Lepisosteus oculatus: one gene and its partner. The main gene of each other region encodes a partner of the protein of the gene in region 2 in a complex. Links are inferred from orthologs where the notes say so. Each region holds a gene or a part of one and is shown on either strand. Other genes may lie near its edges.

The links. The genes of interacting proteins can lie anywhere in the genome.
Region 1: general transcription factor IIF subunit 2 (region 2) and polr2b share a complex: the UniProt entries of both Homo sapiens proteins name them as parts of the TBP-based Pol II pre-initiation complex. The link is inferred for Lepisosteus oculatus from reciprocal best matches to the Homo sapiens genes GTF2F2 and POLR2B.

Annotation. Positions count from the first base shown.
Region 1 is NC_090696.1:33,268,404-33,276,291, forward strand, and holds the start of polr2b (DNA-directed RNA polymerase II subunit RPB2), read right to left. Parts: upstream 3,106-7,888; 5' UTR 2,975-3,105; coding exon 2,956-2,974; intron 1,931-2,955; coding exon 1,858-1,930; intron 998-1,857; coding exon 847-997; intron 649-846; coding exon 536-648; intron 1-535. Other genes in the region: noa1 (nitric oxide-associated protein 1), read left to right, coding at 3,434-4,688, 5,090-5,254, 5,623-5,834, 6,875-7,006, 7,680-7,796. UniProt on the Homo sapiens protein: Catalytic core component of RNA polymerase II (Pol II), a DNA-dependent RNA polymerase which synthesizes mRNA precursors and many functional non-coding RNAs using the four ribonucleoside triphosphates as substrates.
Region 2 is NC_090710.1:16,201,737-16,208,684, forward strand, and holds the start of general transcription factor IIF subunit 2, read right to left. Parts: upstream 3,085-6,948; 5' UTR 3,001-3,084; coding exon 2,935-3,000; intron 2,238-2,934; coding exon 2,164-2,237; intron 698-2,163; coding exon 679-697; intron 1-678. Other genes in the region: gpalpp1 (GPALPP motifs-containing protein 1), read right to left, coding at 5,020-5,238, 5,931-6,026, 6,812-6,948. UniProt on the Homo sapiens protein: TFIIF is a general transcription initiation factor that binds to RNA polymerase II and helps to recruit it to the initiation complex in collaboration with TFIIB.

The DNA of each region.
Region 1 (7,888 bases), on a different chromosome or scaffold from region 2:
TGTTAATGCCACTGGCAAATACTCTGTAACAGGTGACCATAGTTTATGATCTTCTGTTCTCCTATGGAAACTGCACTAAGCCTTCCATAGGGCAGTACACTACAACATTCACCATACCAAAATGTAACAGAGGGTGTTTTTCTTAAACCAGTTGGTTAAAATACATTCCCTTAATAAGAGAAATAAATTATCCAGAAATTGATATTGTGATGGGAGAAACGTTATTTTAGAAGGTAGACCAGAAATGAGGAGCCCAGTGTCCAACTTTATTTTAAAATGGAAAAATATCAAAGCCAGGTATTGTTATTGGAGTACTTCAGGTGAATTCCTTTGGTCAAAGGTACAAACAGCACTGTCTCAGCTGGAGTTTAACCTTCCAGTTTCAGAGACCTAACCCCTGCTGCACAATGCTGCTCTAGCTCTCAAAAAAACCCTGGTGTGAAGCACATTTCTGCAACAGCAATGGACAAAACTAAACAATGTGGGGGATCGCATCAGAATAGGGAGCAACACAACAATGTAAAGCTCAACTTACGTAAGATTTCGGAGTCTAGCTTCATTTGGCATCATAGGAGAAGGAGCTCCATCTCTCTCCCAGTGCGTAGGTTTGGAAAGATAAATCTGCTCAAACTTCAGCAGGTAACGTGGCTAGAACGAAAAGATGACAAGAGGTGATAAACATGCAAAATCCACCCATTGATTTCACAGAAATCGCCCCTACTGTGGGCAAACCGCCCCCTGCACCAATTAATCAGACGTATCTGTGCATCAATACATATCACTACACTTTCAGACTGCTTGGGGTCACATGCCGGAAAAATCTTTTCAAGCCGTCGAGAGACTCACGGGCTCCTCCACTTCTCCAGAGGTGTGCTGGGCCTCAGCCTGCAGGTCGATGGGTGGGGCATCCTCCACAATCCTCTGTACTGACATCTGGATGAACTCATCGAAAGAGTCCAGCTGCTGCCTCACCAAACCCTTTTCATCAAAATAAGAACTACGAAGACAAGAACAGGCCATCCATTACTAATACCATTCTCCCCCTTTGTGCCCCAAATGTGGAAAAAAACCTGGGCTGAATTTGCTTTGAAGATCTGCATTACAGGAGATGATCACTACTGCTTCTATAGATATAGGTCAGAATAACTGCACAGAAAGGAAGAATGCTGACTGCATCAGACAAACTGCAGCTTGCAATGTTAAGAATGACAGTGAACTATAGACTATCTTCATTAAAGCCCAACATTTCCTTCTGTTTTAGAACTTTAAATACATTCTGATTCATTACAGCCAAATCTGTGAAACCCTTTACCAGAAATGTTTTTAACTTTGTATATCTGTATCAGAAAAAAAATGTGCTTTTTTAAAAAAGCAGGATAGAACTTGACTGGACATAAACAGACAAACATATATATGAATATATAAGGGGACACACTTAAAACAAAATGAAAAACAGTTCAACTTTTGCAGTGGAGAGCCACAATCAAGTAGGTCTTATAGGTCATCCTTAAATTATATCTTTGTAAGGACCTGCAACATGTGGACTGTGATCAGTTTAGTCAGGTAACTGGTTCAACTAAATCAGGAATGACCAACCTTTAAACTGTGTAGCTTTAAAAAATGAACAAAACTGAAATTATTCATTTCAGTTCTCAAGTCTTTACAATTGTTTGTAGGAAAACTAATGGTGACATTCAAAATCTGCTGGGTTGTACGTCACTGGGACCAGGGCTGGACTTTTACAGCACAGAAGAATGTTGAAATGTGAGTATTAAGTCAAAAATAAGATCAATAAAATCAAAAGATAACCCTAAAAGGTGAAGGTGGTTAATATGTTATATTTTTTAGGCTGCTCACCTGATGACAATCCAGCAGGCTTCCTGCCACAAGTCTGGAGTGATCTCATCGTCATCTTCATCATACTGAATATCTAAACAAGACCACAGAATTGTAATATTAAGGGAGCCCCATCCACATAAAATATTATGCTCTCTTTGGACTTCCCCCTAAAAAAGTATTATTCACAGGCAGTTACCTTCTACAGGAAGAAAGCTTGCTGCATATGAAACTAACAAAGAAAGGTAAGATGGCCCTTAATGCATTTGATTTTCACAGAAACTGTTTTTACACTACATGCGTGGTAAAAAGCTTTTCAAGAGACATGGTACTTGGACCTGCTATCTCACAGCTCTGGAGACAGCGTGCCGCCTATGCAGAGTTGATCGCACTGCATGTACACATATGAATTTTCTCCAGGCACTTTGCTTCATTCCACTTCCTAAAGGCATGATCAAGGATAAAAGGAGCAAAAAATCTTTATTCTCCTCAATAACCTGCCCTCTCTGAAGCAGCTTTGTTACAATGGCGACACGAGTGTGATTGTTTGTCGAAAGACAGAACTTAGACTAATACATCAGGAGGCATCTGTTAACTTCACCGAAATTGACTTTTATAACGTTTGCTACTCTGCAACCTTTTCGAACATTAAAGAAAAGGCCACGTTTTTAATTCCTAAGGACAGTGGTACGCAAAATGAGATGTTAGAACCACCATGAACTAATTACCGTTCCTCCGATTTCATTTTCTGGCGTTTCTTGATAAAACTGAAATGCCAAAAGCTTTTTGGAAAATCACCTTCCCTATTTGGATGTAAAGCTCTCGCCTGTTGAATGCATTTCAAAATACAAATTTAGAACTCATGTGCTGAAAGTGACTGTAAATACGAACGGTTTAGACTGAGAATGTTGAAAACGAAGCACAATATTTCTAAAACAAACTTCAGGATGCACAAAATCTAAATAACAGATGTCGTTAAACGTGTCAGAGTTAATGGCACAATTCATTTTGCATTTATAAGACACCTCTGTACAATACAGACCAAAAATCAAAGAACGTACCCTGACGCCATGTTCAAAATATTGTTTAAAAAAAGAACTAAACAAACCAGATACCTACCTTCATCTTGATCATACATATTGGATTGAAGGTACTTCCTTTATTGACTCCAAAAGAAAAAAAAACACTTACAAATACGTTGAATTAAAAATAAGTGCGCTATAACCCTCTACTTCCATCCACACCACCTGAACACAACAGTACGAGATATCGATGGTGTATACGTCACTTCCTGCAGGCTTTCGTGACGTCAAACGAAACATTTTAAAATAATTGAACCACCAGAAATATGTTAATTGTAATTGATATTCTCAATAATAATACAAAGAGAATCGTGATAATAATTATTAATAATAATTTCGGATGGTTTGATGTGGTAATCATATACGTCACAGGAGTCAGAGTACTAAAAATGGAAGACTCCTAGACGCACCACATGTGTATGTTATTATTTGCCATTCAAGGTTCAACTAAGAAGAAAAAACGTAACCTTTAAAAAAATATTTCAAGTATAATTTCTTTTTTAATTATATTAAAAATGCAGAGGTTATACCGACTAAAGCAATGTGCTCCTGCTTGTTATTGCGCCCGGAATGTGTTTCCTGTATTTTTACCAACTTTGGGGGACAGACAAGGTAATCGCTGTTCATCTATTCTACGCAATTGTCCAGGACTCTGTAGAAAAGTGCCAACTTTTAAGATCTTCTGCTTGGAAGACACGTGGACGTCAGTGGCCCGCTGTTACAGCACAACGCAAGCGGCAATCGGCGACAGCGGAAAGCAGGGACGTCTTGGAAACTCTTACACATCGATTGAACCAGAAAAAGAAGAAGAATTCGTCTTTCTAGACTACTCCAACCTAGAGGAAGAGAACGATGATGGGGTTTCTTTCAAACCCCCTTCGCAGATGGGGTCTGTGGCCAATAAAGAGAGAAACGCATCGCGAAAGTCGTGTACAGAGGTGTATCACAGAGCTTTGGAAATACAGATGCGGTTATTAGAAGATACAGTGTTAGACCAGGACCAGGACGTACAAGAAATGGATATAGAATTTCATGACGCTGGCTTCCCCCTTCCTAAATTAACTTCTAAAAGGAAAAAATCTCAAAAAATATACGGCACTCCAGATAAGGAGATTCCTTTTAGTGACAACAGCTGTTCGGGATGCGGTGCTCGTATGCATTGCACTGACCCGATTTTGCCCGGTTATGTACCCAGTGAGAAATACAAACAGCTAATAAAGGAGGACAAGATGGACAGAGCGGTGTGTCAGCGATGTTTCTTGCTTGTCCATCACCAAAAGTCTTTAAATATTCAGGTTTCGAAAGAAGAATATCGGAATGTTGTTAGTCGGATACGCCAAGAAAAAGCTTTGGTATTGTTCATTGTGGACCTTCTGGATATTCCCGATTCTATCATTCCAGATCTGTTAGAACTAGTGGGCAAAAATAAAACCATAGTGGTTCTGGGAAATAAAATAGATCTGCTACCTGGCGATTCGGATTGCTATTTAAAACGAATTAAACGTCAGCTTTTTGCATATTGTGTTGACGCAGGTATTACTTTAGGCGATGGCACCAAAGACGTCCATCTCATCAGCGCCAAGACCGGCTATGGGATAGAAAACCTAATTTCGAGTCTTCAAAGATCGTGGAAATATAAAGGAGATGTGTATTTGGTTGGAACAGCAAATGCTGGAAAGTCTACACTGTTTAACACCCTGCTGGAGTCAGACTACTGCAAGTCGAAAGCTCCAGATGTGATTCAGAAAGCTACCATATCTCGATGGCCAGGTAATTATTACTGTACATTTGCCAGGCTGCAGGCCAGTGCAAAGTGAAGACCCGCTCTCTTTCGTCGTAGAAGCCTATGAAGGCACTATATAATGCAGTGAGGTTTAGCATGATTTGCAGAGAAACTGCCCATATGTCTAAGTAAAGGCCTTGCAGTGCCAAGTTCAAGTTATTAGGATATGTTTATGTGAAGTCTTTGTATGAACAGTGTAATAAACCTCAGTCTAAATCACTAGATGTTTTGATGATTGAGGAAGAAATACCTTTCGCTATTCCCTCAGCTCAGTGTATGAAAAGTATTGTTTTCCATCTGTCAAAACCTAAATTTATCCCATGTTAGGTGGTCATATTTTAGGTTGTTGCAGATGGAAGCAGACACTAACCTATCTGTTCTTCATGAGGCACCACACTAAATCTCCTGAAGTTCCCAATCATCAACCCCACTCCATATCGCATGTTCAAGAGGTCTGAGAGACTGAAGAGTGATGGCTCTCAGTCAGAGAAGGACCTGAGCCCACAGGAGTTAAGACGACTGCAGCAGCTCAGCAAGCAGGGATATTTAGTAGGTAAGAGTTCTGACTTCTATGACAGTACCAGATCAACATTTGTTCAGGCCTGAATAAATTAAAAGGAGACAGAATAAAAACCCTGTGACTAAATCTAAACTTCCCCTTAACCCTAACTTAAATGACACAGTGAAACTCTTAACTCTAACCCTATGCTCCCCTTAACTCTCAGTCCTCACTTTAACTTACATTCCAGCATCTGGTACCTTAACACAGCCTGGTTTCAAGCCCATAATTATAATAATAAACCTATTCCTGTTCCTCCATGACCCTGATTTCTTCAAGAGCCCAATGAAAGACTTCCTGTGGGGGTGGAGTTGCCACACTTGCACGGTTGACAAGGAATTTGTCTTCCCTGTTCATTTCAGGGCGAGTTGGCAGATCTTTTGGCTCGGCTGTCCAGGCGCAGAAAGATATGGATGTTGTGGATTTTGATCTAGAAAGTCTCAGTGTGGGAGAGGAGGAAGAAGACAGAATGAGTAAAAAATCAGCTCTTTCCAACCCAGTGGAGTTCACCCACAACGAGCTCAAAGATGCGCATTGGCTGTATGACACCCCGGGAATTATGAAAGAACACTGTGTGAGTGCTTTTGCTAAAACGTATTGTACGTTTAGCCAATGCAATCTTTGTGCTTAGCTGCAGAATAATTACTACATGCACCTAATATATTGAATCAGACATGAGTCATGAGTGCAGCATCATGTCAGATGTAGAGCTCTTCTCTGACTGAAACACTTACTGTCTGCTGGTGCCCATGGTCAGTTATTGCTATCCCTATTAGTTAAAATGTGCCATCTTGTAGTTGTTTTTATTCCAGGCAGACATGGGAAGCTTTAGTACTGATAAGCTTGATTATTTCCCAGAGGAAACTGATTGTCCTACACTGACTCCAGCTCCCTTTTCCATGTAGATGCCCCTCAGAACCTTATATGTGCCCATAGAGGTCGCCTCTATCAGACCCACGTACAGACTTCTTTCTTGTAGTCATCCAGAACACCAGGCAACGCGTTATAGCTCTCAGACACTATGAACTTGCAGGGGTTTGGAAATTAGAACTAGTGGCTCAGTTGTACAGCAGTGGATTTCTTGAGCAAGGTCAACATGGAAGTAGGAAGGGTAGCTCTTTGCATAGCTTTAAACAAGCAACAGAAGTAATGGATACAAACAGAGTATATTTTGATTTTCCAAAGGCTGTTGATAAAAGATTCATTCTCAATAGGTAGTAGGGAGTCAAGCTACTGTATGGATTTGGATTGAGAACTGCCTAATGCATAGAAAACAGTGAAGGGTTAAATGCTCAAAACTGGGTGATGTTATTTCTGAAGTACCACAAGTCTCTGTGTTAGGACCACTCCTCTAAATCAATTTTTAATTTATATTAATGATCTTAATGGGATTAGGTTATTAACTAGTCACGTTCACAGATGACACCAAAATAGGAGGATGAGGATTAAAAACAATCTGTAAAAGATCAAGGCAAACTTTAACAAATGGCAGACAGCATTTAATGCAGACACGTGTAAAGTGTTTGTAACAGGGCGCTGTGTATACTGTGTGCCCATGTTTGAAAGCCTATTGAAATAAGCAGTTCTGCTATTTAATCTCTTTGCATTTTGCAGGTTCTCAGTCAGCTCACAGATGAAGAGTTGAAGATGGTGGTACCAACTCAAGCCATTGTGCCCAGGACGTTTGTGCTGAAGCCGGGAATGGTGCTCTTTTTGGGCGCCCTAGTGCGCATAGATTTCCTTAAGGTGGGTAAATTGTAGAGGTCATGACCATTTGGTTTTGTGCCCATGGTGTCATACATGGACTAAAAAGTAAAATGTTTGTTAACTGTTTTTAGAGTATGTTCCCCAATTCAGCATGGACATAAGTGACACTTTAAATGCAGTTGTGTTAAATGTTGTGATGTAAAATAAACGCAAGTGACAATAGTGGATTACGATTTCAGTGAAGTTAAAAGTGCCAAAAGGATAATTGAGGCAAATAATGGTAGTTTGCAATATTACATGCTGATTTTGGATGTAATATTGCAATATTACCAATATTACATACAGATTTTGCTTGATTATTCAATAGGTATCTGTACAGATTTTTTCGTAATAAAAGTACCACAAACACATCGCCTGGAGGAGAACTGGGACCCCAGAGGTCTATTTGCTCCCACAGGAATTTTTTGTTTTCCCTTTTTTTGTACTCTTGAGGTCTACTGTTGCTGTACAGGATTGTTAACTGCTGTATAAATCTGCAAAGCAGTCTGTGGCAAATGATTTAAGAGAGATTTAATATTTTTTTTCAAATGAGATGCAACAATGAGATTCAAAGGAGATAAAAAAATATTTTAGGCATGAGTGGTGCCATTAAGATTCTTGTGCACTCCATGAGTGGTAGCCTGTTTCACTTTAAAGGCTCTTCTTGCCTTAGGGCGAGAGATCTTGTTGGCTCTCGATTGTCGCCTCCAATCTCCTGCCAGTTCACATCACCAGTGGGGAGAAAGCAGATGACATTTACCAAAAGCATGCTGGGAATACACTTCTTGGGGTAAGTGCGTGTGAACAGTAGGAAACCAAAACAGAAAACTTTTAAAGCACAACTCTTATCTTTGCTGTAGCAATTAAATTTGGGGAAAATGA
Region 2 (6,948 bases):
TTATAAATCACTCACATTTACATAACTAATCAAACTTTTGGGGAATATGAGCAAACCCACCAAAAGGTAATGTTAATTATAATCCAACCCCGAGTTCAAACACCACTGCAGTAATATTGCCACAGCTCCACTACAAGCTATTTCACTAAACCCTAAAATTAATTCCAGTGTTATGCTGTAGTCAATTAAATCTACATTTAATCACAATCCTAACCCATTGGAGGTCACCACAGAAGAAAAGCAAAATAGATTCTGGGGTGCATTCTCTTGATCTGCTTCAGCACACTATTGGGTTTATTATCGAGGGGCACCAAGAAAGCTTCAAGCTCAACCCATGCTCATTTACACTAAATTGGTCAAGGATCACCATGTCTGTGAAAGATGAAACATGATTCACAAAACTGCAACATGCCAGAATCAAAACTGTTCAAACAGGACAAATGCCCCAGAAACACTCAAGCTGAAGTGAAATTTTACACAGTTACCAGATAAATGCAAATCCCATCTGGACGTACGTGTTGCTAAACTGCAATATTATCAATAAAATGGAAAAAACAGAGAGGATATAAAATGTCATCCTGCAACACTGACACCCAGTGGCACACAGAACACCTCCAGCACTAAAGCGATTCTTACATAATGGCAGTTATCACTTTTTTAATTAGACGTCATGCTTACCTCTGCTTTTCCCTGATTCCTTTTTAAAAAAAGAAGAAAAATGTGTTAACAAGTTCTATTAATGTACATTAAAGTACTTCTTTATGAAGAAATACAAATGGTTTGTCTGTGAAAGTTAATATGCACCCTGCTGACCACCTATTAATAATAACATCACTTTATTAACCCTTTACAATTTCTTGCATTAGGAATTATCTTTTCACATACCCCAGCTTGCTCTCCATGAGACACACAGACACACAGATAGGGAGAGAGTCTGCCATTGTACAGCGCCCCTGGAGCAGTTGGGGTTAAGGGCCTTGCTCAGGAGCCCAACGGAGTAGGATTCCTCTGCCGGCTCGGGATTTGAACCGGCAATCTTCTAGCCACAGGCGCAGATCCTTAGCCACAGAGGCACTGCTCCGCCCCAAGTATAATACTGTAATCATTAGAATGACTGTATATATGATGTCTGGATAATATCTGGATCTACTCCACACTCCAACTCTTTTGGCAGGGACTCATGCATGCAATGTGTCATGAACAAGTGTTGAATGGATAAAATGATCCTATCATTTCTAACATTGCGTAACTCCAAAAAAAAAAAAAGATGGGTGTTACTTTGATGAAGTTACAAAATATCAGGGCTGCCCAGTCTTTCCTAGAGGGTCAGATTGTCTGTAGAGACTGGCATGATTGGAGTACTACAGCTTTAAAACAAACTAGAAAACGTACAGACACAGTGACCTTCCAGAACCAGGACTGAACAGGCCTGCAGTATATCCAACCAAAACAGTCATAACTATTTTCTAAACCATAGAACATAAAAACAGAAGCCTACCACTGCATAAACCTCTAAAGATAAAGGTGGGATTTACATAGCTGCTTGCATTTGTATTGCAGTTTTCATCCCAAAGTGCTACACACATATCAAGCGAAACATCATCCACAGCTCCAGTGCAGCACCTGACTGGGCAACACATGGGGGCCATTTTGTGCCAGCAGCCCCTCTAAACAGCAGAGAAGTGAGGAAACACTAAGTGAACTTGAATTATGGGGAGAATGTTAAGGAGGCCAGCTTGAACAAGCCTAAAGTGAACTTTATCCAGAACACCAGAGTAACACCCCAACTCCAATGTGCCAAGGGGTGTCTCTGGGCTAGTCAGGAAGTCTCTAGCTGAGGGACAGCACATCTTATAGCGCAGTGTTGCCAGTCACTGTACTGGGACAATGGTTGGGAAATTTTGATTTGGTGGGGCAATAACACCACCGCCTGGTCGAGCAACAGCGCTTAAAGTAGCACCCAGGCCCAGCCTCGCTAAAGAGTAGCGTGAAGCTAGCAACATTGAGCAATGTGAATTAATTGGAAGTGTTTGTAAACAGCTGAATTTTCAATCAAAGTAAAAGTCCACACTGCTCTTGCTCGTGCAGAGATCTGGGCACAAGGAAGTCTAGTGCTTTAAGTGCCTTACAAAATTACTACATGGGTGAAACAGGTGCACTCACTTGCAAATTTTGAGCTTTCCCACTTCACCCCTGCCTGTTGCTTTGGCCCACTGCTGTGAAAGGTACTTTGGAACCTGTAAGGAAGAAGATTAGAAAATATCTCTATATCTTTTCTCTCTCAAGACAAACCTTTGGCCATTTAATTTAACATCTCTAACAAGAGACTGGGTCACACGCCCCATTACACACTACAATGAGTGGGTAGGCAGACCTTTTACTTCATTTTAGGTAAAACTTTCATTAAAGCATTTTTCCACGATTCCCATTAAGTGAACGACATCCATATACAGTCACTGATGTGATTAGATCATCTTTCTTGGCATAAAAACGAATCATTCATCAATTCTGGCGTGTACTTCGTTTTCATCACATTAAACTGCTTAGGGTCGATGTCTTTTTTCCCCCACAGCTAAGGAGGCCTGCTTACAGGGTAAAATATTGAGACTTTCTCCACCCCGCGATCTCTACCCACGCTGCACGAACAGAATACAATAACAGCTGAACTAATTTCCCAAAAGACAGGAGACACACTTTTAAATGATAAAACACACAGAAGGGAGTGGAAGAATGTGGATATTCTTATGAAATTAATGTAATTCAAATTTTTATGTCACATCTGAAGCACTGCACACGGCTTTATTACCAGGCTAACTACAATTTTCATTTCGTGTCTTTAAGGGATTTAACTTTTTGCGACCCGATGCCTGTATCAGTAGCCAACCAGACAAATAAAAAAACATTTTCAAACGTCTGGGTTCCCGAAAAGCTTACCTTTACCAACCAAACGCCAGTATTTTGTTTGGCTCCTGTTAAATCGACTTCTCCCTTCTCAGACATTATTATAGTGGTTGTTATTATTACTATTATATTATACAGTATTTGTCACACAAGCCACCATTCGGTTTTTGTTCGTGCACTACGTCTCAGAACACAAACACTAGTGCAACTGCGCACGCTAATACGGCGGCCCTAAGGGAACAAACTTCATGACTCACCATTACAAAACGCGGTTCACTACAGTGATTTCGGAAGAAGTTGATAACATCGTTCTCTTAACGGTTAAAGAACGTATTATATGTGTAAATAAAATTACGAAATCTGTTGGCTAAGTTTGGAACTTAATACAAATCTGGTGCAAGCTCATACTTAACTAAAGGGTACATACTAAGATTTAGTTACACTACCACATTTTACACCTGTTTTATTCAAAATCCTATTTTTTCTAATGTTAATCAAATTTATTTTTTAATTTTATATATATATTCAGAAAAGGAAAAATAGTTTCACAACACTGTTTTCCCTATATTGGTAAATAACTCCTTAACAAATGCAAAGCATTACATTTAAAATTCCAGACACAAACTACTTCAAAAACGGGTTTTCTAAACTGACTTAAGGTCATTTACAATTATTTTAAAAGCACAGCATACTTTCAAATAAATACTAAAGACACATTTTCAAAAACTTTTAATTAAAAAAACATGTAAAATGTGATGGACTGAAAAACTACATTCATTGTATTAATAGAAACTAGCAGAAATGCATTTCAAGGATAATTTCAAGATACAATACATTGTACACTTAAACATCTTAAAATAGCTATTTTGAAAGAATTACCCAGAAAAATAATCCACTTAAACATATTTACATTAAACACTAACAATGTTCTGTGATGCAATATTTATAGGTTTTTTTCTCCACAACAGGCAATACCTTATTTGAAAAACATTAGATTTTTTTCTCACAGTAATTGCTGTTTTGGTCTTTATGCATTAGGATTTAATGTAAGACCAAAATGGCCTGGTCACTGCAGAAGTTTGCCTTTTTTTTACACTGCAATCAGTGGTGTTCTTTCCAAACCTGTGATGAACTGCAGTGCGTCTTATCCCAACTGGATTCAGAATCTATCAGGCTGTGCTAGATTTCCTGACATGAAAATGTTAAGTGAAGAGGGAAGCAGAAAACCTTGTGCAAGGTTTCTTCCGTAACATTTGATTCGGAGTAGAAAATAAATATAAAGATGGTCCTCTTTGCATGATCCAGATCTGTTATGGCTTGTAAAACAGCTTCTCTTAGAAAATAAACTCTGAAAGTCAAATAACAATGTGCTACCCACAGATCTATAATGAATCAAGAACCTTGTAGAACTGGAATTAATCCTAAGAAATTGTATAGATCAGGAGTCCTCACTCTCCTAGTCCTGAAGAGGCACTGCTCATCCCTGCGGGCTTTATAAGGAACTTCCAAAACTCTTCATTGATTACAAAATTAACAGCTGTAATATTAACTGATTAAATCAATAGTGGATTAAATTAAATAATTAGGAGCTCTGGTAGACTGGAAAGCATGAAGAGCATGGCATGTGGCTCACCAAGATCAGAAGTTTGGATCACTGCTCTACACTAACAAATTCCAGATGACATTTCTGGACAAGCCTGAACACACATAAACATGTTTCGTGAATGGTCAAACGTAGATCTGGCAAAGAGAGATTTCAGTAAGATGATACAACTAAATCCGACATCATGTCCACAGGGCTGATATTTGATACTACCCGTCTTTAAAAATCTGTCTGAAAGTCATTATTCCCACCTACGGAACTCACAAAGACTTTCCCTAATAGATTCTCTCTCTTTTTGTTCAAACTACCTTCTTCAGAATTCAAATTTACAAACCCCCCTTACACACAAGAAACAAATCACACATGATTTTATATGGTATCTTCATGTAAAACTCTGCCCTCCAATTAATCGTCTGCAACATCCCTCTAACTCCTACTAATACTTCCATCCTAAAGGAAATAGAGCACACCAGTTCTGGTCGAGTCAGGCCTGCAGCCTGGAGCAGAGCAGACAGCTAGAGGAACATGGTGCCTTTGCTATGTGAGAACCGGGTGTTGAGTTCCTGAGACTTCTTGATTAGAGCCTTCTTCTGGGCCTGGTCAAAGCGATTCACTTGCAGGTCCTGGTCCCTGTCAAAAGGCCGTCTCTCCTGGGGCTTTGTGACTTCCTCCTCCGTCTTCCTCTTTAACTTCTTTGTGTGCATGTTGAGGAGAGACTCGGACCGCTTGGAATCCTGTGTTATTAGGGAAGAGGCGGTTGATTTTAATGCAGAGCTGCATCAGAACCTAGCTTCACAGATAATCCACAGAACGCATTTTACTTCATAAACATGCAGGGGAGGGGGGAGCACAATGATAGCGAGGTTTATTTTCTTCATTGAAACCACACATTTTACAGGGTTTTCTTGCTAACTAGTATGTACAGGATGGTATTCCCCCCTTTGTGACAATAACACACTTACTGTAACAAAGCCAGTGGATACTATAACAGAAAACATGACCATGTTCGATACGCGTCTCTTTTTCTGGATAAGACAAATCTGAAAAAATGAACATCTTTCCAACTGTGTATACTGTAAATAACTAGTTCCAAGGGCATACTTTAATAAGATCTAAGATGCAACAGAACTGTATCACCATAACCAACTGGCCTGTATTTGATAAGACAAGCCTATGGAGAGCATGTACTGTTTTACGTGGTGGAGAAAATGTATTGTCATTTCTACAAAGCCCTTTTAGCTGTTAGGTAAGCAGGATGTCTTCGGGTTGCTTTCTATAAAAAAACCTATCTGGTATTAAATATAACAGTGAAAAACTTACTCTGAATACAAAATCAAAAAAGATCTGGTAAATCAACTCTCTTAAGCTGCAATTATGATTTTTACTTTTTTTGGACAAGCTGATGATTTGCTATTAAGGTACTTACATTGTACTTGGACACCTTCTCCGCCATCTCCTGATCCCTCTCCGACAGCTGTGGGATCTCCTCCTTCTCCGGACTCCTTTTCCCTTCCAGGCGCTCCTATGGAAAAAATACCCCCAGAAAGGTAACAGATGAGAAGGAGAAGATACCACAAGGAGCCTTCCTCATTTTAAATGATAAACCCGAGAAAAAGAAATGATCACGACACACATGATGCGAATGTTCATTTTACAAAGGTGTTCAGTGATGTGACTCTGCAGTTTTGGTGGGGGTGGGCTGTATTGTTTTCAACAGGAAGTCGTGGTTCCAGTGGTGTTAACAGATCTCCGTCCATCCATTTTCTAATCCACTTGTCCAAGGTACATGCTGGTCAGAATACCAGTCATTCGCAGGGCAGACACAGTACCAGACAAACACACTCTCACAGACTGGGACAATTTTCCCAGAAACATGTCCTTAAATAGATTTATTAGCTACCAATATGCCTATGATTAGCTATTAATGCCAGATATGTCTTAAACTACAAATATTAAAAGACTGGAATGCTGTAACTGCATCGGCAATGAGTAATGAGTACGGAAAGGAGAATTTAGATTTCCTTTCAGCCGTCATGCAGTGAGCTGAGTGTAGGGAATATTCTGACAAAGGCTTTGTCATGGGGAAAGGACACCATGGGACCATAAGTTACAGGCCCTTTCAAAAATAGTCCATAAGAAGCAGAAAAGCAGTACCAATTACTTGTAATATTCATTTGATTTTCCACACCTCTCTATGTAAGAGCTCCCCAGATCAGTAATCTCTCGCTTGTTTATGCACAAGGCACGGTTACTTTAAATTGCTTTTACTCGTTTCCCTCTTGAGTGAAAGGAAACTCGTTAGCCCACCCTGGCTTTCCTCTCCTTGTCAGCTGGGGTGTCAGTCCACAGGGAGCGATCTTTACACTCCGGTCCCGATCTCTTCTTAAAGGTTCTGGGGCCGAGGCCAAAGTGCTGCAACTCAGGGGGGAGTTCGGTCATCCACG